Mus musculus: one gene and its partners. The protein of the gene in region 1 interacts with the protein of each later gene in a pairwise test. Links are inferred from orthologs where the notes say so. Each region holds a gene or a part of one and is shown in the gene's direction. Other genes may lie near its edges. The genes, in order: Cep70, Fam214b, Abt1, Sh2d4a, Tsga10ip, Atp5o and Kansl1.

Region 1 (4,225 bases):
AAGTCACCCTATTGTTCTGGAAAAGGTAAGCAGTTAGATTGTCTTAGGAAGCTGAAAATGAAAATCTGTCAGCTCCGTAGTGTGAATATCCAGATATAGAAAGGGAAGGAAGGGGCCATGAGGGGGAATAGAGGGATTGGGATGTGTTTGCAGAGAACACACACAGTTTAGACTCACTGTGTGCCTAAACGTGGGCTTGAGAGCAGTACTCTCTTAAGAGATGTGCCCTTGGACCACCCAGAGAGAGTCACTTTAGTTGATGTATTAGGGTCACTAAGACCCTGATGGGACTTGCATTTCCCAAGTCCTTCTGGAAATGCCTGTTGTCAATACCGCCACCGTGTGGCTGTAAGTTGCAAGGACAACGATGGTAGATTCCTGAAAACTCGAGGTCATCCTTTAGACTGCGAACATGATTTTTTTTCCCTTACATATTTTGGATTTCTTAACCCACTTTTGGTTTTTGAAAAGAGTGGAGAAGGACCTTCGTTTTATTTTTTTCCTTGAGCCAAGGCCTCCTGTAGCTTCCGGTGGTCTTGACTTTTGCTATAAAGCCAGGGATGACCTTGAACTCCTGATCTGCCTGTACCTCCTAAATTCTGGAATTACAGGCACGTGTCAGCTCGCCTGTCTTAGGCCGTGTTGAAGAATCAAACCCAAGGGCTTCCCGGACGCTGAATTCTACCAACTGATCTACATCTCCAGTCCCTCTTCCCCACCAGGTTTAGAATCAGTCTTAATTATTTCTCAGCGGACAGTTGGTTCTCCCTCCTGGCTATACATTAGAATCACTTCGGGGAACCATATAAACTCTGGACGTGTGGGCCCCACTTTAGAGATCTTGACTTAATTAACCTGGAGGCCCATAGATCGTTTTCAAGGCTTTTCAGCTTATCTAAAGTTGAAGCAAGAGTTGTGCCTCATGTCCTTATGTAATCTTTTATCTCTGTAGCCACAAACCCTTTATTAACCAGTCTTATCAGTGTCTAACAGGAGCCCAAACTGCCTATCTAGACTGAGCTTCGTCAGGCAGGCATCTCAGTTCTTCGTAGACCTTTGAAAATATTCAAGGAGAAGGTGAAATGTTATCAAGAAATGCTTATTGGGGTTGCCCCGTGCAGACAGTTCCTGAAAAAGGCTCGCAGTCAGGGCGTGAGGGGGAGCTGTAGGGAGCGCAGGCATCCAGTGATAATAAGGCAGCCCCGGCCTCACTTTCACTTGCAACCGCAAATGTGTGTATTTCTAGCTTCTCGGGGATCAAAGAAACACCATGGTGACTGAGCGACTATCAGGCGGAGCGTCCAGGAAGTGTCAAAGCGCCTGCTACAAAGTAGCCGCAGCAAGTCCGGGTCCGGTGGGAGTGGAGGCGGGAAGAAGCCCCGCCCCGTGGGCGGAGCTAACGATAGAGCGCGGCGTGGACCCGCCTTCCCGGCGCGCCAGGTGGTGTTGTCCCGCCCCGCTGGGAGGCCATCGACTGCGTCAGTTCGATTGGTCAGCCTGGCTGCGCTAACGGTCGCGTAGGCGGGGCTTAGGCCGCGGGGGCGAGCGCGGTGGAAGCCACGGGCTGTGACCGAGGTGAGTGGCGCTTGGGGTCGCCGAGGACTTTACGTGGGCCCCCTTCAGGTGCACGCCCAAAGGTGGCTTCTCCGGAATCCGGAGCGTCCCACTCACCAGCCAGGGCCCTCAGAATGGAGTCGCCCCGGCTCCTACGCGCTAGCTAGGAAATGCGCGTGCAGGTGTGGGCGTGGACCTCCCTGCGGGGAGCCCGCCCGTCGCTTTGTGTCCCTCGCTCCTCACTCAACCTCTTCTCCCAGCCGAGTGTTGAAGGTGTGCGACCTGGTAGAGGAAGCAGGAACTGAGCTTAGACTCCTACATGGAATCGGCTGGGTTCCGGGCTAGCTCCAGTTCTCTTTGCGGCGCTGTCAGGTGATAGCGATTTGGAGCCAAGTGGGAGATCGCGGAGTAAAGGGTAGGCGAGTACCCCTCCTGTCAGACTCATTACAAATTTAAGGACTCCGCCTTTATGTGGGTCCACGTTGATTAATGTGAAAAACACAGCAAAGCCTAATCAAGGTTCCCACTATTATCAACTAATCAATAATTGTTCACGCCACGGTGCAGACGTAGAGAAAGAGGACAACCTTGGGCGTCGGTCATTGCCTCTACCTTGTTTGAGACAAGGTCTTTTGTTTTTCTGCATACTGTAGGGGATGGAGGGGAGAGCTGCAGAGTCCGATCTCCCTACAGGAGGCCCGGGGTTACAGAATTCTCGCCTCCTGTGGATTCTGAGGATTGCTTCTCAAGCTTTCTTGGGACAAGTGCCTTTACCCACTGAGCTGTCTCTCTAGCCTGCCACTTTATTTTGTAATCATATCAGCGCTGCAGGCATTGGTTTCAATCTTGTGCATTGCATGGATTTTTGTAAATAGTAAATAGCTAGTAAATGGTAAACCGTGAAGAGCAAGTTGCAATGTTGTTGGAATTGAATTGTTGATTCACGTTAAGGCAAGGTTTCATGCAGGCCGTCTGAGGACGACATTGAATTCCTGATCCTCCAACCTCTGAAATGCTGGGGTTACAGCTAAACACCACCACACCCAGCTATTATATTTATGGGGGTTTTGTTTTTTTTTTTTTTTTGTTTTTGTTTTTTGTTTTTTGAGGCAAGATTTCTTTATGTAGCCTTGGCTGTCCTGGAACTAGCTCTCTAGACCCAGCTCACCTAGAACTCACAGAGATCCTCCTGCCTCTGCCTCCTGAGTGCACACCACCATTGCCTGGCTATAAAATTTTAGTATGTGTTGTATTTTAACAGATCCTCAGATACCTACAGGGCAATTAATGAACTGTTGTGAAACATGGATGGACTGTGTCAAAATATACACTTTTCCCCCCATGATGGCTGTCACTTGTACTCACACTCCCAGGGCTGAGAGGGATGGGTTGCCTAGGCTAGTTCTAGGTCAGCCAAGGTTCTGTTTCAAACATCTCCAGTTTCATCTTTTTCTCATTTTGTTTTTCTCTTATCTTCTTTTTCTCTTATTTTCCTTTTCTCTCTTTTCTTTTTCCCCACCCTCCTTTTCTTGAGACAAGATCTTGCCATGTTGTCCAGGTTGTCTTGGAAGTCACTATGTAGACCAGTTTGGCTTTGAACTTACAGGAGTCCACTAGGATTTGCTTCCTGAGTGCTGGGAATAAAGGCATGCATCACCATCCGCCACTAAACATTTTTACCACTTTTAATTATGTGCGTGTTCATGTGTACAGGTACTCGTGGGGGCCGAGGAGTTGGATCTCCTGGAGCTGGAGTCATAGGTGGTTGTGAGCTGCCAGGCGTGGGTGAAGGGGATTGAACTCTGGTCCCCTGTAAGGGATAACATGCTCTTAGCACTGTGCTGTTTCATTTCTGTTTGTTTTTGTTTTGGTTTTGGTTTTTTTGTTTTTGTTTTGAGACAGGGTCTCTCTATATAGTCCTGGAACTCACTGTGTAGACCAGGCTGGCCTCGAACTCACAAGATCTGCCTGCCTTTGTCTCCTGAGTGGTAAGATTAAAGGTGTCTACCACTGTGTTTGGCTTCTTTCTTTTCTTGAGATAGGGTTTTACTATGTAGCCTGGGCTGTCTCATATCCTTCCTAAGACCCAAAGCTGGGAATTATGGGTATGTGATTTTTTTTCTCCTTTTTGTAACACTTGGCTTTATTTGCCACGTGGCTAAACGACATCCGTCCTCTACTTCCTACTCTAGGAGTCCTGTGTGTTAACAACACTCTGTAAAGGTTCTGCCTTGGCCCTAGGATGCCGTTATTTTTTTTTTTTTCCTGTGACTTTCAAGGTTCCAAAGCCGTGTCTTGTTAATAGCCTGGATGGGGAAAAGATTACTACAGACGATTAGCATGTTTGCATTAATAGGTAATACTTTGTGTCAATTTGTAATAATTGGAAGTGTGCTCTTGAAAAAGCTTACAGGTTTTTACTATGACTTTTTAAAGAACACTTTCAGAACTCAGAGAACCTTGGGGGTTACAGGGGGTGGGGGCTTGATCACGGGTGTAAATAAGTTCTCTGCTTCCTGCTTTTACTTGAGTACACTTGCAAGCAAGGATAACTACCCTTGAAGGCCACATATCAGAATGATAGATTTGAATATCCTGCACATGTTTCAATAAAGCAATAGGAGGAAGGACAAGGGGGAAAGGAAGGGGGGCATCTGTGGAAAAAGCTGTT
Region 2 (3,999 bases), on another chromosome or scaffold:
AGGTCTGTTGTGTACTTGTATTAATTGTAAAACCCAGAGAGGAAGTAGGGGGGGCCCTCTTTTTACAGTCCAGTAATAAACTAATGGTCCTGGGGACTCATAGCATAGGCAAAGCATTGGCTTCTACTTCCTTTGGTTCTGCTGTTTGTTCCCTGTTTCTGTGACCGACAGGGAGAAAAGGCCTGAGTTGGTGACAACCTGTCTGACTTGCTGATAAGTTCAGAAGACAAAGTAGACAAGGCTATCCATTTTCTCAGGTTATCTCGAGAGCACTCCCTGTAAAAAGTGTCTGTGAATGCCCAGTCCTCGCAAAAATTCCGTCCTGGTTATTTACAGAGCTAAGGACAAAGGTTAGGGATGCTGACTATAATGCTGCTTAATTTGGCTGGCTCTGGGCTGGGCCCGGGGCCCTGTGACTCAGGGGGAGCTTGGTGAGTTTCGAGGGAGCTGTGAGTCATGAAGACGAACTTGGTCTCCATCTGACTTTGGGCAGAAGGCCTTCTAACTCACTTCTTAGGATGCTCTGTTTCCTCGGAGCAGAGGCCTGTCAGCAAAGAGTGCTCCAAAGCCTGGTCTCGGAAGGGTTTTGAGAGTCCCTGAAATGTCAGCCTCCTGGGGTCTCTAACAAAGACAAAAAGGGGGTGGGAGAGGATGCCATCTTTCAGTATGGATAGAAATAAGGTACGACTGTAGTAGGTCTTTTTTTCCTGCTCTTGTAGAAAGCTTACTCGATAGCAACCCTTTTACCTGGAGCTGTTTCGGGATGTGGGGGCGAATGGGCTTGGGGATATGTAGGGTTGGGTTTGGTGTGACTTGGAGATTGTTGAGATTTATCTGTGAACACACTGGAGCTTCATATTAATTTACTTCAGAACAGGAAGTGTGGAGGAGAAAGGTTTGTTGAGCCCTGAGAGAATGAAGTCTGAATGGGGTTAAATGACAGGGCAGAGAATTGCTTAGGACTTGGACAGAAAAAGGGTTAAGGAGGTGGGCGGAGCGACATTGGGTAGGCCTGCCCTTATGTGGACCAATAGGCGTGCGCTCCTTGAAGAGGGCGTGACTCACGCTTGAGGTTGCTGAGAGGCTGGCCTCCACTGGGCCAATGAACATAGTTGTTGCCCATAGAGGGTGTGGTCTGAGGGGGGCGTGGCAGCCGTGGTCGCAGTGCTGGGGGTGGCTGGGCGCTGGGCGGGGCGGGCGGCCCCATCAGCTGGTAGGAAATGGCCTGTGAGTCAGAGGGGCAGCTGAGTCTGCGGCGCGGAGCCGGGGCGGCCCCGGGGAGGGACCGTCGCAGGGAGGGGTGCAACAGCAGCTAGAGGGGCTGCGGACGCCAGAGCCCGCTAGTGTTGCACACGAAGCTGATCAGGGAAGGGCCAAGCAGAGCAAGGCTCTCAGCCTAAGCCACCCTTTGTCTGGGTTGGGGGCCCGTAGTAGGGGGGACTGGTTATCCGAGGGGAGGGACCGGGACGGGGACGGGACCGGGACGGAAGGGCCCGGAGCAGCGGCCACCGCGGCGGAGCCAATTTGGGAGCGGGGTGAGTGTGTACTAGGTGGAAGGATCAGATCTCCAAAACCTCTGCAGGGTATGGGGCCTGTCCCAGACTGTGAAGAAGGGATGAGAACCGACCTGGGAGGCTAAGCAGGGGGTGGGAGGAATCGTCCAGAACAAGGAGTCCAGGAGTCAAGGTGAGTCTCCCCGTCTGAGTTTGGAGGGGTTTCTGAGGTCTGCTCCCTCTCTATTAAAGGTGAAGGGCTCTAGGCCAGAGTGAGAGCGAGTGTGAAAGCAGAGATTAACCTTTCTACTCAGAACAGTGGTCTTGGGAACAGTCACCCTAGCGTGTGTAGACTTGTGTGAGGACAAAATGTACAGCAGTGAGCAGCAGGACTCTGCCCAGGATAAGAGTGGAAAACACATGGGTAGGAATTCTTACCCTAACCTTCCTTAGGGTAAAAATGGGTGTCTTGAGAGTGAAGGGAAGGATAGAATGAGCCTAGGTGTTCTTCTTGTACCACAACCTCTCCCACCTCCCAGGTCTAACAAGTATCTGAGGGTACAGACCTCATGGTATTCTGGGACTTGTTGTTTTTGCTGGCCTTGCTCTCGGCATGTTGGGAGCTGTAGTCCTTGGCAGCCACAGTCTGGCACAGCTGTTTAATGCCAGCTGCTGCCCATCCCCAGCATGGAGGGCGAGGTTTGGCTTATACTGGCTTGTCCCTTCTCCCGGCAGTCCTACCCCATGAGTCAGCTTGAAGCTGGGTGGCAGAGGAGTGAGTCTTCGAGCGTCTCTGGGCAGGGAGGGAACTAATAGGACTCTGGATTAATGAGCAGATGCCAGCATGCTGGGGTCAAGTAGGGCATCATGTCATCACCTGGCTTCCTCGAGGCAAGGGCTCAGGAGGGCAACTGAGATGACCTGGAAATTGGGGTGCTCAGGAAAACGCCCTTCTTGAACTTTAAAGCTTGGGTGGAGACTAGGAGGGGAAGAAAGGAGAACAGGTCATACTCTCACGACACTGCTACTACTGGCGTTCTCCGCTTTCTAGCCATCTCACCCACATGAAGGACTGGAATGTTCTTAGGGTCTCATTCGGAAGGGGGCCTGGTGAAATGGCAAGGTGTGGTCTGAAAGGAAGGCAATGGCTGATGTAGGAGAGTCCCTACGTGTAAATGTCCCCCCTCTCTCCGTCTCCTGCCACCACATGAACTGCTGCAGTTCCCCATGTACAATTAATCTCTCCACTCTTCACCCATACAGTGTGTCTCTACACTGTCAGGCTGCTGACCAGATCACTGGTGCTAGCTCGGATTTAGGCTTTTTTTTTTTTTTTTTTTTTTTTTTTTTTTGAATCTTGATGTGTGTTTCTCCTGAGCTTGAAGTTGGGCTGGGGAAGAAACACAGTCCTGTCCTCGGGCCTGACATAATCAGAAGTGAACAGCAGTGTCATCGGGTTTCAGAAAGTAGTTAGTGATTTGCCTGTCTCTGCCTCCAGAGTGTGTGGACTAAAAGATGTGTGCCACCACTCCCCTCAACTTGTTTGTTGGTTTTGTGTTTTGTCTGAGGTAGGATGTCTCATAACCTCATCTGACCTTAACTGTCTGGTGTAGTGGGAAGTCTGGCTGTAACCTGGTTTTTGTTTGTTTGATTTTGACAGAGGACCTCTCAACATGTAGCTAGACTGGTCTAGATCCTCCTGCCTCAGCCTCTAGCACTATGTTAAAGGGCAGTATGGTTGGTAGTGCTCACAGGCTGCTGACCAAATAAGGATGACAGTGGGGACAGCTGGCCTTCAACTTGAGAGTCTGGTCACTGAAATATTAGTGGTCTGTGAAGACCATTGTTGTGCTTTGGCAACAAAGAAATGCTTTAGCTTTTTTTTTTTTTTTTTTGAGTATTGGTTGTGCCCTGCGGGAGGGGCATGGAGAGATACTCCAGTTATTTCCAGTTGGCTGCTTGCTGCTTCCTTATCTCTGGTTTGCAGGGCCTGGGGGGAGGGGTGAGAACTAGAAAGTATCTTCTGACTGCGTTCTCTCCTTCCACCACTTGTTTTTGGTTAGATTTCTTTTTGTTTCGGGGAGGTCTTTAGGGGATGGGGGTAACAGTGTAGCCCTGGCTGTCCTGGAACTCACTCTGTAGACCAGGCTGGCCTTGAGCTCAGAAATCTGTCTGCCTCTGCCTCCCAAGTGCTGGGATTAAAGGCATGTGCTACCCATGCCCTGCTGGATTTCTTCTATTAAAAAGACAGATTTCTGAGGAACGTTAGGATTTTAAATGTGCAGGGCTGGCTTGGAGCTGACTTGAGTTCTGTAGTTGTGTGATGGGGTGTACCTACCTGCATGACCTCTGCCCTCAGCACTCTCGAGTGGCACTTGCCCCTTTGGATAGATATAAGGAGATGAGTTGTGTAACTGGGTAGCCTTGAGTAAGAGAAGTACAGTATTGTCCTGTCCACCTACAACCTGACATGGAATCTCTGGTCTTTGGGGCATCTTATCCCCTA
Region 3 (4,088 bases), on another chromosome or scaffold:
TTGTGTCTTCTTTACATGTGCCCCTCCCCCAGTTCTCAATGTTTTGAAGTAACTATAAGACGCTCTCAAGTGTCATCATTGTTGGTGAAGTAGTCAGTTAAAAGTTAAAAGTAGGGGTCTTTTCTCTCCATATTCACTTTTCATAAAAGGAGCAGAGGTAACCAACAGCAAGTTCTCTTCAATGCAAGTCCCCAAAGTCAGGTTTAGTTATTAGGTCCTCAGAAGCACCTCAGCTTTACAAATAACGCCCAGAGTCTGTGGACACAGTTGCCCTGTCTTCTATATGTCATCGTGATGATGAAGGATAAAATATTATGTAGGGCCTTGACGAGGGACAACTTGAGTCCTCAGGATCATCCTGCTCTCCGTCCGTCCGTTAAGCAGGAGGGGAGGTTAGTACATCATTTCTAGCAGAGGCATCATCGCTCGAGCGTCATCAGCTGCTGTGGCCCGCCTCTGCGTTGGCCCTGGCGTGTAGGTCCCAAAAGCGAGGCGGCCTGCTGATGTGCGGACCGCGCCCCCTGGCGGCTGGTCCGAGGCTGAGACCTGCAACCCGGACCTTTCGCTCATCAACTTGCACAGATTCGAACACAATAGTACTCAGCTTTTTACTCAAACAGTTACAGATTTAAGTATTCACAAGGTGAAATGTAAAATTACTAAAGGCGCGTTTAAAATTTTAAAACCGCAACTCCAATTAAAATCCCAAAAGAATGCGTGCAAATTTATAAGCTGCTTCAAAAACTTTAATTTTAAAATGTTAAAACTTCATATAATTCAAATAATAAAATAAAAATTCAAATAATATGTTGAAACTTCAAATAATTAAAACTTCAAGGCTCAGACTGAAGTTTACAAGTTGAACTTCATAAAACTTTTTAAAATGTGTGTTAACCTTTCAACCACATTCGCACCACAGACCTGGAAGAAAATGCTGTTTTGGTCTCTACAACACACTCTTTCAACACTCTGTTCTGTAAAAATCCCACGAGAGGCACCAGGGTACGCTCTTGATGCATGGAGGCAAAAATCATTCATGCACATTTGTAAAAAAAATAAAAATATTCCGTGAGAGCTTGCCTCAGATGAGGGCTGCGCGCGACGGAAGTATTTTACCGGGACCCAGGTCCTGCGGCTCCCAACCCTTCTCCTCAGTCCAGTCTGTTGGCCTCGCCCCTCCCGCCCCGCCCAGTCTGTCTCTGCCCCGCCCCTCCGCACCCAGGATTTACGTCATTTCTTGGCCCCGACCGCAGATTGGCTCGCAGGATGTGCGTCATCAGATGGCGACAGATTCACGGCTGTCGTGCTCCCCAGATCTTGCCATGGTGAAAGCGGGAGAGTTGGTGGAGCAGCAAAAGGCTGCGATGGAGGAAGAGGCGAATGCAGAGGCGGCGGAGGATCAGGAGGAGCCCGAGGACACGGCCTGCAGCAGCAGCAGCAAGAAGAAGAAGAAGGTAGTTCCGGGGATTGTGTACCTGGGCCACGTCCCGCCGCGATTCCGGCCCCTTCACGTACGCAACCTGCTCAGCGCCTACGGCGAGGTGGGACGCGTTTTCTTCCAGGCCGAGGGTAAGCCCTGCGTCGAAAGGAGAGGTGACGATGCGGGCAGCCGGGCGCGACTCATTTTCTTGGCTGTACACGAATGAGGCGTGGGGTGCTGGCTCTTGGAAGGCTGTGGCCCCTTCCTAGCTGCTAAGTGTGTAGTACTCACGTCCTTTAGGTGGCAGGCAGGGGCGGGGAAGGGAAATGGAGAGGGTGAGTGGATAGAGAGAGTGGTTTAATAAGGCCTGAAAGAGACCCACGATCTTCTCTTCTTTCTATTTCTTAAAATTTTATTTACTTACTACTTTTTGTAGCTGTCTTCAGACACACCAGAAGAGGGCATCAGATCCCATTACAGATGGTTGTGAGCCACCATGTGGTTGTTGGGAATTGAACTCAGGACCTCTGAAAGAGCAGTCAGTACTCTTAACCACTGAGCCATCTCTCCAGCCCTCTCAATTTTCAAATAGTCCCTGAAACTGTATGATTAGCCTCCTTCAGCCTCTTCACCTTTGTTTGTTTGTTTGTTTGTTTGTTTTTCGAGACAGGGTTTCTTTGTAGCTCTGGCTGTCCTGGAACTCACTCTGTAGACCAGGCTGGCCTCGAACTCAGAGATCCGCCTGCTGCTGCCTCCCAAGTGCTGGGATTAAAGGCGTGCACTACCATGCCTGGCTCTCTTCCACCTCTTGACATGCACAACTTGGAAATGGAGGTGGGGACTGGTGTTGTTCTTGGTGCTGTTCTAATGTTCAAGAAGTTGTCATTTGAAGGGAGGCATGAATTAAGGAAAGGAGGAGCTGCCCCTTACAGACAGCCGTGTTTCATCAATCCCTGTAAAGTAGCGCCTAAACCAGCAGGTGTGGCTTACGGCTAAACTGAGGTGTGTCTCAGTGGGTGCTTGATGGGATGTTCATTGTGTTTGGCCTACAGACCACTTTGTGAAACGCAAGAAGAAGGCAGCCGCGGCCGCAGGAGGAAAGAAGGGAGCTAAGTACAGCAAGGACTATACCGAAGGCTGGGTGGAGTTCCGAGACAAGCGTGTAGCCAAGCGAGTGGCAGCCAGTCTACATAACACGCCCATGGGCGCCCGCAAGCGCAGCCCCTTCCGTTATGACCTGTGGAACCTCAAGGTGAGGTTCTCAGTTTGTCTGCCACATCTTCATTCCCCCCTCCAGCTCTAGTCCAGGCACCCCATCCTTCCTGCTAGCTCTGAGCAGCTCCCAGTTTCTTCTCCCGACCTTCCCTACCGTGACCTTTTCTTCTTTTCCTTCTCACAGTATTTGCATCGTTTTACTTGGTCCCACCTCAGTGAACACCTTGCCTTTGAGCGCCAAGTACGAAGGCAACGCCTGAGAGCAGAGGTCGCCCAAGCAAAGAGAGAGACTGACTTCTATCTTCGAAACGTAGAACAGGGACAACACTTCCTTGCAGCTGATGGGGATGCTACTCGGCCAAATAGCTCCTGGACATTCACCCAGCGTCCCACTGAGCAGGAGTTTAGGGCCCGGAAAGCTGCACGGCCAGGAGGGCGGGAAAGAGCACGGCTGGCTAATGTCGAGGACCAGGCCCGATCCAACAGAGGGCTCCTTGCCAAGATCTTTGGAGCCCCTCTACCTGCAGAGAGCAAGGAAAAACCGTAGTCAATAAGGGACTCCTGGTGATGGAAGAAATACCTACCAGCCCTGCGCCATTCTGATCTGCTTCCTGAAGAGTGTGACCATCTAGGCAGATGTTTTCTCTATTCCACACACCAAGAGTCTGGTAAAGGCCTTTTGTTGGTGTCTTTTACCTACTTTGAACAAATCCTGTAAGTGCCAGCCTGAGAACCTTACTCGTCCTATCCAGGGTGAAGACCACTGGAGGTGCCTGTTGTGTTTTGTTTGATTTCTGATTGCCTGCCTCTTTCTCAGTGGACAGCTAACAGTTTCTGACTGAAAGAGTGGACTTGCCCTCCACTAGGGTAGTGGTCTGTGGTGTTTGTTCACTGTGGTGGAAGGCTGAATTAGCAGGAATTGGATTAGAGGTCCAATTTGAGGCTTATATTTGAAAATAAAAAATAATTTATTTTTATATGCTTTTTAGTTTTTCATTAAGTAAGTTTCAACTTCTTTTGAAGCCATACATGCCGCTCAGTTACTTTAGCACAGGCATGATTCTCCTCCACCCATGAATCTCAGTTACTCTATCAGATATGATCCCAATGCTCCTGTGTTAGTCAGGGTTCTGTAGAGTCACAGAACTTATGGGTAGTCTCTGTATAGTAATGGAATTTGTTGATGGTTTACCGACTGTAGTCTTAACTCCCAACAGTGGTCAGGAGCACCTGTGAATGGAAGTGCAAGGGTCTAGCAGTTGCTCAGTCCCACAAGACAAGCAGGTGAAGGAGGGTCTTCCTTCTTCCAATGTCATTATGTAGGTCTCCTTAGAAGATGTGGCCCAGGTTAAAGGTGTGTGCCGCCATTCCTGGATCTGGGACTTGCTTTGTCCCACATGACCTTGAACTCAGAGATCTCCTTTCTACGGAGGAAGTAGTCCAATGTAGTAAA
Region 4 (2,839 bases), on another chromosome or scaffold:
AATACAGTTCTTTGACTATCTGCTCTAGTTTGTTTCTCTGTTGCTATGATAAAATACTTATCAAAAGCAACTTGGGGAAGAAAGGATTTATTCCAGCTTGTAACTCCCAAACCACAGTACATCACTGAAAGAAGAAAGGGTAGGGACTCATAGCAGGAACCTGGAGGCAGGAACTGAAGCTGGAGCAAGGAGGACTGTTGCTTACTGGCTTGCTCAGTTTGGTTTCTTACACAACTCACCTGCCAGGGGTGGTGCCACCCACAGAGGGCTCCCATATCAATCATTAACTAAGAAAATGCTCTTACAGACAAGCCCACAAACCAGTCTGATGAAGGTGATTCTTCAACTGAGGATCCTTCTTTCAATGTCATTCTAGTTTTGGGTCAAGTTGATGAACTATCCATTTGTTTTGTGTTTGTCCAGTAACCAAATAACAGGAGTTTTGTTTTGTTCTGATTCCCAAAGACTTCAAGATATACATGGAATTTAATTCTGATTTTCGTAAACTCTAATTCATATAGGGAGGGGCAACAGAGGAGTACTTTGTAGGGACTTGACTGATATGACTTTTTCTCCCTTTCCCACAGGGATTCTCACACTGAAGAAAGCAAATGAACTTCTGAGCACAGGTGTGCCGGGAAGTTTTTTGATTCGAGTCAGTGAAAAGATCAAGGGCTATGCCCTGTCCTACCTGTCTGAGGAAGGCTGCAAACATTTCCTTATAGATGCATCTGCCAACTCTTACAGCTTCCTGGGTGTGGACCAGCTGCAGCATGCTACACTGGCAGATTTGGTGGAATATCACAAGGTGAATCCAATCATATGTTTAATTCACACTAGGAATTATTGTCCTATAGATATATAACAAAGAATATAGATATATAACAAAGAAACAAACAAAGAAAATAAATATATAACAAAGAAAGGCCTGACTAGGGATATAGCTCAAGTACCCTTGAGCAAAGGGATGGTGGTAGCACATAATTTCTGCTGGTAACAAGGGGTTTTAATTGTATTTCCTTTCTCATATCCACCTGGCATACTCAGAGATATCCCACGGGAGCTGAGAATACTAGAGATGTATATTCTGAGCATATCTGAGGGTGTTCCTATGCTAGAACTTGGGCTTCAGTAGGACAGGGAAACTGAAAGGAGGGAAATCTCTTTTAGTATTGTCATAAGCCAATCTAGGTATGCATAAACCCAGGGTAGAGGAGTGATCTCCCCTAAGGAGCAGCATGAACGTCTACCACATAGCTGCCTCATGGCCCTGTGCTTTGATTGACAGGAGGAGCCCATAACCTCTCTGGGGAAGGAACTCCTTCTGTACCCCTGTGGTCAACAAGACAAGCTGCCCGACTACCTGGAGCTCTTCCAGTGACAACTCTCATCCAGATCAGCCTCCAACTTCCAGCTGGTTTCCCCTCTGGACAGACACCTCTGAGATGGACATTTGTGTGTGATGCCAAAATCTCTCTGTGACAGAGCCAACAGTGAACAACGTCTGAGGTCTTCATTGAAACCTCTCTTCTGCATAAATGCTGGATTCAGTTTAAGGGGGTGTTACCTCTCTCTCATCCTCATTCTGAAAGGAAAAGGGGGAAGGTACCCACATTTGCAACATCCTAATATGAAGGATAGGACCTTGAAGGATATGACCATGATGATGTATATAAGATAAAAAGGACAAGGGTACACTGAAATCTTTTTAGCAATTAAGATGTTATTTTAAAAGAACAAGTGAACAATTTCATGATCTACACACTCCCTTTTTGTTATTCACTCAAAGGTCTCAGTATTCTGTGTGTATAAATTTTTATCTTGCTTTTAGAATGGTGGAAAAATGTCCCCACTGAGGGATGAGATTATCTTCAAAAGACCACCCTTTCTGTGTCTGTTGGAGTGAGGTTATAGAAGACAGAAGAGAAAGACCCAAGTGTAAATTGAAAGACAAGTTTCAAAACTTGAGATGAGAGACTTACCACATATGAAAAAAACCAACCAACCAACCAAAGGTTTTATTGTGACAGTAACCCTGAGTGTGATGGTTTGAATATGCTTGGCCCACAGGGAGTGGTAGTATTAGGAGGTGTGGCCTTGTTGGAGGAGGTGTGGCTTTGTTGGAAGAAGTGTGTCACTGTGGGGGTGGGCTTTGAGACCCTCCTCCTAGCTGCCTGAGAGATTCAGTCTTCTGGTTCCCTTCGGAAGAAGATGCAGAACTCTCAGCTCCTCCTCTGCCATTCCTGTCTGGAAAATGCCGCGCTCCTGCCTTGATTATAAAGGACTGAAACTCTGAAGCTGTAAGCCAGCCCCAATTAAATGTTTTTCTTTAAAGAGTTGCCTTGGTCATGGTGTCTCTTCACAGCATTGGAAACCCTAACTAAGACGCGTGAGTAATCTTAGGGTTTGTTTCTTCATTCTTCTCTACTCCCCCCCCCCCCCATCTGAAAGTAAATATAAAAGATACTGTGCGTGGCCATGTAAGGACTTGTGTGGTCCTGATTCCAAGAGAAGAACTGAATAAGTGAGTGGTTTGGATACCACCTATTGAGGGATGAATTGTGTCCCACACCAAATATACATGAAGTCCTGACCCTTCTGTATCTGAGTATGAACTGATAGAGAAATAGGATCTGTGCAGAAAAGATAAGTAAGATAGGCTCCAAATCTAATGAGTTGCATCTGTATAAGGGAGAAAGATAAAGAAAAAAGACAAACATGAGGATGGAGGTTAAAGGACCACAGAAACAGAGAGTAGAGTGGTGTAGGGCAGGGTATGGCGGGGATTATGAAAGGCAGTACGGCCCAGGCCCAGACTCTCCCTAGGACTCTATTAGGA
Region 5 (4,237 bases), on another chromosome or scaffold:
GCACCTCTATGGACTCTGCATCAGCTCCTGCCATCAGGTTCCTGGCCTGCTTGAGTTCCTATCCCGAATTTCTTGGATGATGAACTATGTATCCAAGCAAACTCTTCCCCCACCCAACTTGCTGTTTGGTCATGGTGTTTTATTGTAGCAATAGAAACAGTAAAATGACAGGCTTATTCTTTTTTCTTTTCTTTCTCTCTTCCTTCCTTTCTTTCATATATATACTGCAGCTGTCCTCAGACACACCAGAAGAGGGCATCCGATCCCATTATGGATGGTAGTGAGCCACCATGTAATTTCTGGGAATTGAACTCAGGATCTCTGGAAGAACAGTCAGTGTTCTCAACTGCTAAGCCATCTCTCCAGACCCAGGCTTATTCTTTTAATTGAAAATTAAATCATATTTTGAACTTTATTGTATTTGAAATTTTTATTTTAATTGAAATTTAAAATTGTATTTTGCCCAGCGGCTATTCGGTAATCCTATGTTCTTCTTCCCTTTAAGCCTAGTGGCTCAGTGGCAACTTCCAACCACTCATCATGTGCTCCCCCAATTATGAAGTGAACCAGGAGTTCTCAGATCCAATGGGCCCTTACATGGCTAGAGAGGTTTAAAATATGTACATGCCAGCTGGGTGTGGTGGCGCACGCCTTTAATCCCAGTGCTCTCTTGAAGCAGAGGAAAAGCAGAGGACGGTATGTTCAAGGACGGCCTGGCCTATACAGTGACTTTCAGGCCAGCTAGCTAGGCTACATGTTTTTGTGTTGGTTTTTGATTTTTTGAGTCAGGGTTTCTCTGTGTAGCCCTGGCTGTCCTGGAACTTACTCTGCAGACCAGGCTGGCCTCGAACTCAGAAATCTGCCTGCCTCTGCCTCCCGAGTGCTGGGATTAAAGGTGTGTGCCACCACTGCCCAGCATGTTTTGTTTTTGTTTTTGTTTTATTTTTTAATTTTTAATTTTTTTAGGCTACATGTGAGACACTGTCTAAAATAAGCAAAACAAAATGCTCAAAACAAAGCCAGTCAATGTATAAATATACACCATTAGGCTCAGGAAACAAGTATGGCTGAAGTTCTGTCATTCTCAGGTTGAGGGGCTTGCTGCCTCTCTGAGGGACACAGTATCCTGCGGCCAGAAGGCCATGGCCTGCCTTGTGCAGCAATGGGGCATTTTCACAGGACCTGAGGGCCCTTTGAGGTGACAAGTTCTGATATCCCTTCAAAAGCAGATGGATAAACATAGGCCTAGAGAAGTAGGGAGCTTATACCAGGTCAGGTTGCAGGGGCAGAGGCAAGGCCCAAGGCAGTTCTGGGCGCTGTTGAACACAGTCTCGTAAAGGAGACCAGCAGAACTCTGGCTGATCGCTACCGAGTACTTTTTGCTGGAATCATTCAGACCGGTCACAGCCTGGTTGTCATGGAGATGGCAGAGAGGGCAGTTCCAGAGCTGGCAGGTAGGGGTGGGAGAGGGCAACATGCCAATATGCTAAACACTGACCAACTGTTGGTTAGGGCCTTATCGGAGAGACCAAGGCAGAGTACAGAGCCCTTGGTTCCAGGGACATCTACAGGGCTGTTCAGACTTCTATCAAGCATCTCTCCGGAGGACCAGGTGAGGGAGGCAGGCCCAGTTGGGGAGCTTCAACCGCCCATTGGCATCTTAGGCCAGAAGAGGTCAGCCCTGGCTAAGGCTCTTGAGGAAACGTAAGACTGGAGCTCAGGTCCTGGTAACAGTTGGGAATGCCTGGGACAAGGACCACAGAGGACAGATGGAGCAGTTTGGGAACACTGCAGGGAGGAAAGGAGTTTAGGGAAATAAAAACCCTTCCTTCCTTCCTTCCTTCCTTCCTTCCTTCCTTCCACTAAGGAACTTGTCACTTCCTCAGCACTAAGTCCAGAGCCCTGGGTGACATCCAGAAAAATGTGAGCTTTTGTTGTGGGTGGTGTGGCTTGGTGTTTTGGGGTGCCAGCAGTGGATGGCTTGTTGGGCAGTCTCCTACCAAATTACCTGATCTGGGCTGTCCTGGAGCTCACAGTCCTCCCCTCTCTGCTTCCTGCGTATCTGGGGTTACAGCTGTGTGTCATCACACCCCGATATTTTTCTAAAATTTAAAGAAGTCCAAACCAGGCATGCTGGTGCAGCCTGTCATCCCAACACTTGGGACACAGAGGCAGGAGGATCAGTAGTTCAAAGCTATCATCAGCCAAGCCATGGTGGCACATAACTTTAATCCCAGGCAGGTTGGCCTCTGAGTTGGAGGCCGAGTCTACAGAGTGAGTTCCAGGACAGTTAGGGCTCCACAGAAAAGCACCATCTCAAAACAAAGCTATCTTCAGCTATACAGTGAGCTTGAGACCGTCCTCAGCTACACAAGACACCATCTCAACAAGACAACAAAAACTAATAATATTTATAAATATTTTAATATTTATTATATTATTTTTAAATATTTAATATTTATTATATGTAAGTACATTGTAGCTGTCTTCAGACACTCCAGAAGAGGGCGTCAGATCTCATTACAGATGGTTGTGAGCCACCATGTGGTTGGTGGGATTTGAACTCCGGACCTTTGGAAGAGCAGTCGGGTGCTTTTACCCACTGAGCCATCTCTCCAGTCCAGCTTGTGCTGTCTTAACAGAAGAGGTAGTGAATGATCAGAGAAGGTTATAGGCAGCCACAGCACAGTCTAGACAGAGAGGAAGCCCCTGGGAGGTGAACCTGAAGAGGAAGCACCATATGGGAGGCTAGTCAGAGCTCCCCTCTTCCCTGTCCCTGCCCAGAGGTGCCTTGGGAGTGGTGACAGTCTCCAGAGTCAGAGCTGCCAGCTACAAAGATCTTACAGCGCAGGGCAGACAACAAAGAAAGAGCGAAAGGCCCGGAGGCGGAACAAGAAAGGCCGTGGCTCAGCTGAGGCAGAGGAGTAAGTTGCTGGGGAGGGACTGGAAGGTGCACTGGGGACTAGGAGGACCCTCATTCTGACTTCTCTCCTCTTCCTCCTGCAGTCTCTTCAGTCCACCTTCTCGAAAGCCTTCCTTCCCTTTCCAGTGGGCCTGGGAGAGCTTCATCATAGATGGCCAGGCTCTGTTTCAGTCAAGTTCCTCTATGGCCATGGGCCATCGACCCCTGCTCCTCCCTCCAGCAGCCCCCCAGTGCAAGTCCAGGCACAAGTCAGTAGCCAACCTCTCAGAAGACCTTCGAGCCTGCCACAAGATGGAAGAGCAAAGCGTGGGGAGGAGACATCACCTAGGGGGCTGGGCCAACTTTCCCCTGCCTCTGAGCAAAGTGGAGAGTCAAGGGCTAGATCAACCTAGCTTCTGGTTATCAGGGAAAGGGTCAGGATCAGAGTCTGAGGATGTCTTAGAGATAGAAGGCCAGAATTCTGAAGAGGCTGAGAAAAGTCTCAGCTCTGGGGAACTGCCTCAGCTCCCAGGGCAGAGCTTGATCTTGGAGGAGGAATTGATATCAGAGGCGATGGAGGAGGAACACAGCGACCCCCACAAGGGAAAGGGCAGTTCTGTCAATAAGGGGGGGAATTCTGGAGAGAAGGGCTCAGAAGAGGGGGAGCTGCAGAGCCACAACCAGGGAAGCAGCTCTAGCTTCAACAGTCTCCGAAAGCCACAGAAGGGGATCTCAAGGGCCAAGGACCTGAAGGGGCCCTGGGACCTGGAGCGGCTACACAGGCAGTTACAGGAAGAACTGGAATGTGGTTAGTACCGCAGGGAGGCCTGAGGTGCCGCCATCCTGGGAACTCTGTGCTCAGATGGAGGGGTGGGGTCGGCGGTAGAAGCTGGGGTGGGCCAGGAGTTGTCTGGATGCTGGGTGGAACTGCCCAGGGAACCAGGAGAGAGTGTGATCCAGACTTGGTGTTCCCATGGAAAGGTCCCCAGAAGCAGACCTGGAAGGCGCTGCGGGCAGCTGTCCAGGCCTCTGCCAGGAACAAGAAGACCCCCATCTTGGGAGATGATGAAAGTTTCTTGTCTGCCAACTTCCCTAATCGTACTTTCCATAAACGACAGGAAGCCACCAGGTGAGGACAAAAGAGGAAGGGAAGCAAGAAGTGAGGGAAGGTGGAGAGGGGCGTCTTTCTTTCTTCCTTTCTTTCTTTCTCTCTCTCTCTCTCTTTCTTTCTTTCTTTCTCTCTCTCTCTTTCTTTCTTTCTCTTTCTTTCTTCCTTCCTTCCTCTCTCTCTTTTTTTTCTTTCTCTCTCTTTCTCATTCTTCCTTCCTTCCTCTC
Region 6 (3,983 bases), on another chromosome or scaffold:
TTTGAAATTATGAAAAAGTATATCTAAAGATACTCAGATGTGTATTAAAGTAATATATTAAAGTAATATAAACCACGTGAGTTATGTTGAAAAGTCATAGAATGGTTAAGTTATAGAATCAAAGTAGGTTATTCTGCAGCTATGGACATGTTTATTAAAGTGCCATAATTTAGAAATTTGCTTATACAAAATGTATTTCTGAGGTTGGAGAGACAGCTCAGCGGTTGGGCACTGGCTGCTCCTGCAGAGGACCTGTGCTCAGTTTCAGTACCCCCTGGCACCTCACAACTGCCTCTAACTCCAGCTCCAAGAGACTAGATGTCCTTTTCTGGACTCTAAGGCAACAGGCACACATGGTACACGTGAATATATGCAGGAAAACACTCAAACACATAAAACAATTTCTAAAAGAATGTATTTGCAACCCATATAATTCTGTATCCATCTTCCCTCATATTAAAAAGTAAATTATATATAGATAAATTATATATAGATTTTGAGTCTGTGGGTATAAAAAGCACAAACACGGGCTGGCAAGATGACTCAGCAGTTAAGAGCACTAACTGCTCTTCCGAAGGTCCTGAGTTCAAATCCCAGCAACCACATGGTGGCTCACAACCACCGATAATGAGATCTGACGCCCTCTTCTGGTGTATCTGAAGACAGCTACGGTGTACTTATGTATAATATAATAATAAATCTTTGGGCTGGAGCGAGCAGAGATCCAAAAACAAAAATTAAATCCCCAACAACCACATGAAGGCTCACAACCATCTGTACAGCTACAGTATACTCATATACATGAAGTAAATAAAGAAATCTAAAAAAAGAAAAAAAGAAAAAGCACAAACACACCTGTCAACTGTCCTATGTAATCAAAATATGGCCAGAAGAGCCAAGAAGTGCGCCCGGGTAGGTTCACTTTTGGTTTTTGTTTTAAGTAAAGCCTGAAGCATTGCCACAGAAGCACACTTGGCAGGTTCAAGACGAGTCAACGATGTTGACGATGCATGTGCAAAGAGTTTAAATCTAAACCTAATTTCAGACTTAATTTTCTGGTTCCGGTTCACGAGTCCAGCCGGACCGCGGCAGGTACGGACTACAACTCCCAGCATGCAAGAGGTTCTTACCCACACTCCCGGGCTCCTGACGCGTACATTTCCCAGAAAGCCGAGCGATCACGCTGGCGCGCGCGCGTGCGCTCTGGCGCCAGTAGTCTCTTTTCATTTGGGTTTGACCTACAGCCGCCCGGGAAAAGATGGCCGCGCCTGCAGCGTCCGGACTGTCTCGACAGGTAGAAGCTGGCGGGAGGCTCCCTCCCAGGGTTGCGGGTCCCCGGCTCCCATCGCCGCGTGTGAGGCCGTGGCTGAGGGGTCAGGCAGCCCGCCCAGGGTCGTGGGGCCCGGCGACTGCAGGCAGCGTGGGGCGGATCCGCGTTTCGTCCCCGTGGGGAGTGGGCACGGATTTCTCTGTCTTGACCTTGACATCCAGGACTCACTGCATAGCGGAGCAGCTGGCAAGGGCATGGGAGAGAGCACTGGGGAGAGTACATGCCTGTCCTTGCTGGTAAACCTAAGGGCTGCCTGCTGCTTAGGATTTTGAGTGTTGGAAAAGCGCATCCCCTGTGTTTATAAAGAAGGGGGGAAGGGCTAAACGTCTCCCCTTTGGCTGGCAGCTGGTGAGTGATGGCGAGCTTGCAACAGGCCAAGTCCAGCAGAACCTGGAATTGGGTGGAAAAAAATACGTGCCTGGGTCATCTGCCATGATAATTTTGTATCGACAGCCGTCATGGTTTTCATCTGCACCATACAGAATTATTACTAAGGCGTTAGAAAGTTTTTTAACCCTCATAGCCAGTTCCAATCGAGTACATTCTAGTCTAGAGAGAGTAGTATATGACTGTGACCTGTGCCCTCGCAAAACGCTTTTTAAACTGGATTCCAGGCTGCTCCAGTGACAGACACAGTGCCTGAAGCCTGGTGCTGTATCAAGAGATCTTTGGTCTTAGATAGCATTTCAGTTCCTAAGCAAGTAGGTTTCCTTGAATTAAGACTGGACTCATTTCATGTTCATTAAAGTTTTTCTCAAAGGTGATGTAATATAAATCCTCCGCTTTCATAAAGCATTCTTCCCAAATGTGATAAAGCTCTTAATTATTTTGAAAAATTCCACTTTGGGAAGTTAGCAGCTTTTCTCTCTCAGCTATCCAGGGAGGAAGGTGTTGGGAAGGCAGTTTCTGGAGGGATTTGGGGTGATTCTCAATAGGGAGTGTATAACAAAGAGCAGCTCCCACTCATATAACCTGTGTGATGATAGAAAGGAATTGCGCAAGTATTTGATTAGATTATTTTAACACATTGCTAAGCTAATGCAGAAACCCTGTCTGATCTGTTTTCTTTTGTTCTAAAGGTTCGGAGCTTCAGTACATCTGTGGTCAGGCCCTTTGCCAAGCTTGTAAGGGTATGTCAGCTTACTTATTTGTGTGTGTGTGTTTGGAAAACAATGAAAGAGTGAGTTGAACAGAAATACGTTGAAGTGTGTAATTAATAACCTTGGTCTGCAAGGGTGGCAGTTCCCAGATGAGTGCCTGGGTGCAGGGGATGCTGTTGGGCGCCTGTCACACAGGGTGGGCTCAACCCTAGACTTTAATGTTCTAAAAATAACTTGTTTGGGCCCAGCAAGAGCTCAGCAGGTAAGGGCTGGATGGCAGGCCTGAGGGTGTGAGTTCAATCCCTGGAACCCGGAGGGGGAAAGGAAAGAAAGACCTGAAAGTTTTCTGTTCTGTTCTCTGCGTGTAGTGCGTGCGCGCGCACACACACACACACACACACACACACACACACACACACTGTATGTATAAAAGACTCTTAAATTGTTTTTCCTAGCAATCGTCCATAGACAAGCTAGCCTTTCATTCTTTTTTTTATGAAGGAACTGTTTCTAACAAAAGAAAGTGAAGTGCCCAGATTCTCACACAGTTGATACTCTGTGGCAACTCCGAGTTGCTCAGATGTGAGGCCTGCTTGCAGCCTGCACCTTGTTTCCCCAAGCAGAATCAGTACTGACAGGTACCATTCCCAGGCACCAAGAGTCTCACCATTGATTGCAGAGGTCTATTGGCCTATTCTTTTTAAACCAGAAGTCTGACTGACCTCTGGCCCAAGACAGATTGAAGTATGGCTGCACGTGCATTTATTCTATAGTTCATTGTTACTAATTCATGCATGGCAGAATCTGAAGATATCCTGGGCTGCTGTATGCTCTCGGGCAACCAGGCCAGTGATCTGCACTCATGGTCCCCTTAGGAATAGCAGAATACAATGCTCTAGGGACGTTGGGTGGAACTTACAGCAACACACGCTACGCTTAATAACAGCACCAGATTCCTTCAGCCTCTGTGAGTGGAGCCATTTTATTCCTCCTGAGAACTTCATAAAACACCATGACCGTGATAGGGACACATCCACATGTGCACTTCTTACTGCTGCCCCTGCATTGCTAATCTTCACAACTGCCTGCCGTCGTACTAAACTCCTGTGCTTAGGGATGGCATTGTCACTGAGATCAAAGAAAGCCAAAGCTTGCTGTAACATTTGCAGGTAGGGAGAGCTGGGAGAGACGCTGGACACTGCCCTCTCTGCCCCTCTAAAGGTAGAGGGTCCTGGCCAGGGAGACGGCCCTAGTTTGTGAGTTCTCATTTAGGACTGCACCTTGGCTTGGCAGTGGGAATGCAGTCTTGGAGTTGGGGGTAATTCTGTTCCTGACTTAGCTGCCTCACTCCCCCCCTCTTACTCTTGTTTCCAGCCCCCTGTTCAGGTCTACGGCATCGAAGGCCGCTATGCAACCGCCCTGTACTCTGCTGCATCTAAGGAGAAGAAGCTGGACCAGGTGGAGAAGGAGCTGCTGCGCGTAGGGGTGAGCAGCTCTCTGTTGGGCTTGTTCCTGTGTCCGGTCCTAACGGGGTACAGCCTATAAAAAGAACC
Region 7 (4,159 bases), on another chromosome or scaffold:
TAGATGCAGATACTGCAGAAACTTGTTGAGTTAGAGACTTTGTGGGCTAATGAAAACTGGTCTATAACAATAGTTTTTTTTTTTTGAGGAGCTGAAGTGACACATAACACCGGATACTGGTTTGGTAAACCACACAAAGTATTGAGCATTTTACATCTTCCTTTTGGTAGACTCTACTCTTCTCATCTGCTGAGCTTGGTGATTTAGTTGTTGGAACAAGTTTTATGCTATTTGATTTTGGTGAGTCCTAATAATCTTTGGACATGGTTAGCTTTAAAGGGTGGTGGATTTGTACTGTGTAATGTGTCACTTTGCGTTATATTAAGTTTTCTAAGTCCAGAAAATGTTCTCTGATATTAAACCTTATTTGGGAGGAAGGAACCGATATCGTGCTGACAAACTAGAGTCAAGAGTAATTAGGTGCCACTACTTTTAAGTCAACGCTGGTAAGAACATGACAGGTTTGCTTTTGTTGTTCATTGTTAAACTTTTAGCGGGTCTGTGAACTTTAATTTGGTAGTAGCAGGAAACAAAAAAATTACTGTGTAATGAATGCGTTTTTGCCTATTTTGGCGGATCTGACAAATCAAGAAGCCTAAAACAACACGCGGGCTTAACGAAAACTACAGTTCCCAGCGGGCCCGGCGCTGGTGGGCCATCATTTCCCCTCTAGCTCCCAGCTGCCCCTGCCCGGGCTAGCCCCGAGTCGGTCCTAGCTCGCGCCTGCGCAATGGCGTCCGCTTATTTTTTGGTTTGGCGGCTGCAGAGCGTGGCGCTAGGGCTAGCAGCCAGCCGTGTGCTGCAGTGTACAGAGCAGGGTGTAGGACAAAGGGCGGGTGGCAGGGACCGCGTCACTGGTCAGGGAGCTTCCTGCCCGTCTCAGAGCACGGTTGGCCCTGGGGTAGTGTGGCCGCAGCAGCTTCTTCATTCACTGCACACACAGTTCTTCGCTCACGTCCTCTAGCTCTGCTGTGTCAGTCCGCCCTCCCCTCAAACCGGCGCGCAGCACCGCCAGCCACAGAGCCGAGGGAATGTGACGGCATCAGCGCCTCAGGTTAGCCTCACCTCGATCGAAGCGAGGGCCCCGCGTCGCTTGCCGCAGTGCCGCGTGTCGCTGCCGCACGTATCAGGCACCAGGCACCGGTTTCCGCAAACAGAGGCGCAGAAGCAGCGGCCGCGGCTAGGAGCCATGACTGAGGCGGCGGCGGCCGCGCCTCCTGGCAGCCCGCGGGGGCGGCGAGGCGGGCGCCCCCTGGCGGCGCGCCGGGGCGGAGCGGCCCGCCGCAGCCGCAGCCGGCGGAGGCGCTGCTGTCCCTCCTCCCCGTGTCCCCGGCACTCGCCCGCTCGCTTGCTCGCTCCATTCTCCCTCCGCTTCAGATTAAAGGGGGGGAGGGAAAAGGAGCTCGGCCGCCATTTTCCCAGTGCCGCCGCCGCCACCGCCACCGCTCGCTGAGCCGGCGGGAGAACCAAGCGCCGTAGCGAAGCCGACTCGTCTCGCCGCGGCGGCTTGGGGGGCGGCCGAAGTGCGCTCCCCGGCCGGGAAGAAGCTCCCGGGGTGGCGGCCGGGGTGCGGGCGCGGGCTGCAGACGGCGGCGCTTGTTTGTGCGGGGCGGGGGGGGCAGCTTTACCCTCTGCCCCCGCCCGCCCGGGGCTGCGGTCCCCGCCGTGCCCAGGCCGGGTCGGAACGGAGGAAGGCCGGAGAAAGGGCCCGAAAGAGAAGAAAAAGCAGCCGCTCCCCGCCGCCGCCGCCTTCCCCTCCCCCTCCGCCTCGCCCCCCCGCCCGGAAAGTCAGGGCGGCTCCGGGCGCCGGGGGGGAGGAGAGCGGCGGGCCGGGCCGGAGCAGCAGCCGCGCGCCCCCGCCCGCTGGTCCTCGGCGCCCAGGCCGGGGGGCTGTTTGCAAACTGCGCCCATTTTGTGGGGCCGAATCCGCCCGGGCTACGCTCCTCCATCACGTGGTAGGTGCTGCTGCTGCTCCTTTCCTCCTCCTCCCGCTGCCCTTTCTCCTTCTCCTCGCTCTCCCTGTGGTTCCCATTTCTCCCTCTCTTTGTTAGTTGTAACTAGAAAGGCTGGGCAGGGGAAGAAAAATCCCCGGAACTTTAAATGGCCTCTCCGGGCTTCCCCGCTGCGGGTCCGGGCTGGGAGTCGCCCCAAGGGCGGGGGTGTGCGGGGGCCCTTCCCCACCAGCTGCCGCCTCGTTCGCTGGGCTTTCCTTTGGCGTTCTATTTAAAAAGGCGGCCTGGAGAACCTGGTTTATTTCCGAAAAAAAAAAAAAAAAAAAGCAAAAACAAAAAGACCAAAAACAAACTCTTGCTCTCGCCTTGAACTTCTCTTGACTGCAAAAGGTCTTTCTTTGCTCAAACACATCTTGCATGTCTGTCTCACGGTTTGTATCACAACTCTGATTGTTAACATTTTTTGTTGCTTAAATATTGAGGTCATTTGCGTTTTCGGATCTAGTCTCAGGCAGCCCTTTTTTTCAACTAAAGAGGAAGAGGCATTTATTTGCTTTTAAGTGAGTTGGAATCTTACTGCTTTTGGGGGGGCCTGTTTTCGGACTGACGGCCTTTGATTCTCAGCAAATAGTTTATAATTGTTTTCCGTATTGTAAACAATCTTACTCCCATGTTTTACCTAGAAATCCTTTTGTTTTCCAATGTTGGAATCCCAATGTGGATTTTTAGAGAAACTCGTTACTTAACTATTGCTTATTGATTGCCTTAGGGGAAAAGGGGTGACATGATGGCGCCACTTTAAATTGCTCTTTCCTCCGCCTGTTTTTTCCTCCTTTATCCTGGAGGTCACTGGAGCATTTTCCGTGACCTATTAATAAAACCGCACTTGAGGGTGTTAGCTGTACAACTCTTAGGGGTTAGAATTTGGTACCTTAAAGATTGAGAAACCCGAATCCTGCAGTCCCCAAAGTTAAGAGAAATCTCGCTAGTCCTCCAACCTAGCTTTCCTCCCCTCCATTCACAATCCTGGTGTTGCCATATCCTTCGTCACGTGGCTAGCAATCATTGTGGGGTTTTGTTTGTTTGTTTGGGGGGGTGTATGTTAATATTTTAAGCTGTAGCCAAGTAAGTGTCCCTCTGCCCATTAGAGAGATCACAATGCTCTAGGGTTTTTTTTTTTTAATACATTCGGAGAACATTTTAAAATAAACGATAAAATTACATAATCCTTGCCTTGCATAATCATGATATAGTTACAGAACTTCTTCTCAAAAGTACTTTCAATCAAGTAGGAAAATCGTTATATTAAAATGATTTCTGTTTCTTAGACTGGTCTGCAGTTTATATTTCCCACCCCACCTCCCTTTTTTGTTTTTGTTTTTAAGGTCATTTGAAGTACCAGTATTTACAAAAGCATAAAGTGGGCGTGTTTCCCTTTCCTCTCTTCTATGGGCTGTACTTGGTTTCTTGTCTTATTCTCCTACCAATTTAGAAATTTTCAATTAACTGCAGCTGTTGTCAGTTGAGACTTTTTTTTTTTTTTCTTCTGACAGTGGATACTTTTGATGTGTTTCTTTGTTGCATTTTTGATAGAGAAGTTTTTAATTCTAGTTTTCCAATCTTCTTACTTGGTTGTTATAACTTCTTGTAAATATTAACTATAAAATGCTAAAGTACATTTTTTTCTTTTTCTAGGTAAGTTACTAGCTTCAAAAAGTAAATATAAAATGTAATTCTTGAGTATGATTGATCTGTTTTCTCCTGATGTATGTTATCAATGGCTTGGGCCATTTTCTTTGCTAACAGTTACATCATGTCATGTGATAGGTGCAGTGTGATGTGTTGCTCTAAAAATATTGCGAGGTAAAAATGCTCATCCTTTGGAAATTTAAACAATGTATTGTAACTATTTGGTAACGACCCTTAGTCATGGAATCCTGAATTAGATTTCCACTAGGTTTAGCCAACCAAGTGTACAGTTCTTTTGACCTTTAGAATATTTGATTTGATTTGTTAGTGACCTCAGAACTTGAGGTGGTTTGACATTATTTTTGAAGTGTGATCTACTTGGAACCATTAACAATCACATAGATTCTTAAAATCTTTATTCTGATGAAGGTAGTTATTTAATTAAGTGTATGTGATGATTTGTTTCTGTACACAAAAGTCATCAGTTCTATGCAGATTTTGAGATAAATTGGAGGTTT

The links.
Region 2: the proteins of Cep70 (region 1) and Fam214b interact in binary tests that used the Homo sapiens proteins (3 or more experiments, as listed by UniProt). The link is inferred for Mus musculus from reciprocal best matches to the Homo sapiens genes CEP70 and ATOSB.
Region 3: the proteins of Cep70 (region 1) and Abt1 interact in a two-hybrid assay, tested with the Homo sapiens proteins (2 studies listed by BioGRID and IntAct). The two-hybrid records come from large-scale screens. The link is inferred for Mus musculus from reciprocal best matches to the Homo sapiens genes CEP70 and ABT1.
Region 4: the proteins of Cep70 (region 1) and Sh2d4a interact in binary tests that used the Homo sapiens proteins (3 or more experiments, as listed by UniProt). The link is inferred for Mus musculus from reciprocal best matches to the Homo sapiens genes CEP70 and SH2D4A.
Region 5: the proteins of Cep70 (region 1) and Tsga10ip interact in binary tests that used the Homo sapiens proteins (3 or more experiments, as listed by UniProt). The two-hybrid records come from large-scale screens. The link is inferred for Mus musculus from reciprocal best matches to the Homo sapiens genes CEP70 and TSGA10IP.
Region 6: the proteins of Cep70 (region 1) and Atp5o interact in binary tests that used the Homo sapiens proteins (3 or more experiments, as listed by UniProt). The two-hybrid records come from large-scale screens. The link is inferred for Mus musculus from reciprocal best matches to the Homo sapiens genes CEP70 and ATP5PO.
Region 7: the proteins of Cep70 (region 1) and Kansl1 interact in binary tests that used the Homo sapiens proteins (3 or more experiments, as listed by UniProt). The two-hybrid records come from large-scale screens. The link is inferred for Mus musculus from reciprocal best matches to the Homo sapiens genes CEP70 and KANSL1.

What each region holds. Positions count from the first base shown.
Region 1 is NC_000075.6:99,241,916-99,246,140, forward strand, and holds the start of Cep70 (centrosomal protein of 70 kDa), read left to right. Parts: upstream 1-1,425; 5' UTR 1,426-1,575; exon of another isoform or gene 1,576-1,969; intron 1,970-4,225.
Region 2 is NC_000070.6:43,037,502-43,041,500, reverse strand, and holds the start of Fam214b (protein FAM214B), read left to right. Parts: upstream 1-1,199; 5' UTR 1,200-1,535; exon of another isoform or gene 1,536-1,686; intron 1,687-3,999. UniProt on the Homo sapiens protein: Transcription regulator that may syncronize transcriptional and translational programs.
Region 3 is NC_000079.6:23,421,067-23,425,154, reverse strand, and holds the start of Abt1 (activator of basal transcription 1), read left to right. Parts: upstream 1-1,288; 5' UTR 1,289-1,322; coding exon 1,323-1,569; intron 1,570-2,472; coding exon 2,473-2,672; intron 2,673-2,819; coding exon 2,820-3,182; 3' UTR 3,183-4,088.
Region 4 is NC_000074.6:68,345,366-68,348,204, forward strand, and holds the end of Sh2d4a (SH2 domain-containing protein 4A), read left to right. Parts: intron 1-587; coding exon 588-808; intron 809-1,288; coding exon 1,289-1,381; 3' UTR 1,382-2,339; downstream 2,340-2,839. UniProt on the Homo sapiens protein: Inhibits estrogen-induced cell proliferation by competing with PLCG for binding to ESR1, blocking the effect of estrogen on PLCG and repressing estrogen-induced proliferation. May play a role in T-cell development and function.
Region 5 is NC_000085.6:5,399,707-5,403,943, reverse strand, and holds the start of Tsga10ip (testis-specific protein 10-interacting protein), read left to right. Parts: upstream 1-1,437; 5' UTR 1,438-1,483; coding exon 1,484-1,612; intron 1,613-2,784; coding exon 2,785-2,924; intron 2,925-3,006; coding exon 3,007-3,710; intron 3,711-3,883; coding exon 3,884-4,031; intron 4,032-4,237.
Region 6 is NC_000082.6:91,928,831-91,932,813, reverse strand, and holds the start of Atp5o (ATP synthase subunit O, mitochondrial precursor), read left to right. Parts: upstream 1-1,183; 5' UTR 1,184-1,258; coding exon 1,259-1,294; intron 1,295-2,409; coding exon 2,410-2,460; intron 2,461-3,804; coding exon 3,805-3,915; intron 3,916-3,983. UniProt on the Homo sapiens protein: Subunit OSCP, of the mitochondrial membrane ATP synthase complex (F(1)F(0) ATP synthase or Complex V) that produces ATP from ADP in the presence of a proton gradient across the membrane which is generated by electron transport complexes of the respiratory chain.
Region 7 is NC_000077.6:104,439,521-104,443,679, reverse strand, and holds the start of Kansl1 (KAT8 regulatory NSL complex subunit 1), read left to right. Parts: upstream 1-1,359; 5' UTR 1,360-1,955; intron 1,956-4,159. UniProt on the Homo sapiens protein: Non-catalytic component of the NSL histone acetyltransferase complex, a multiprotein complex that mediates histone H4 acetylation at 'Lys-5'- and 'Lys-8' (H4K5ac and H4K8ac) at transcription start sites and promotes transcription initiation.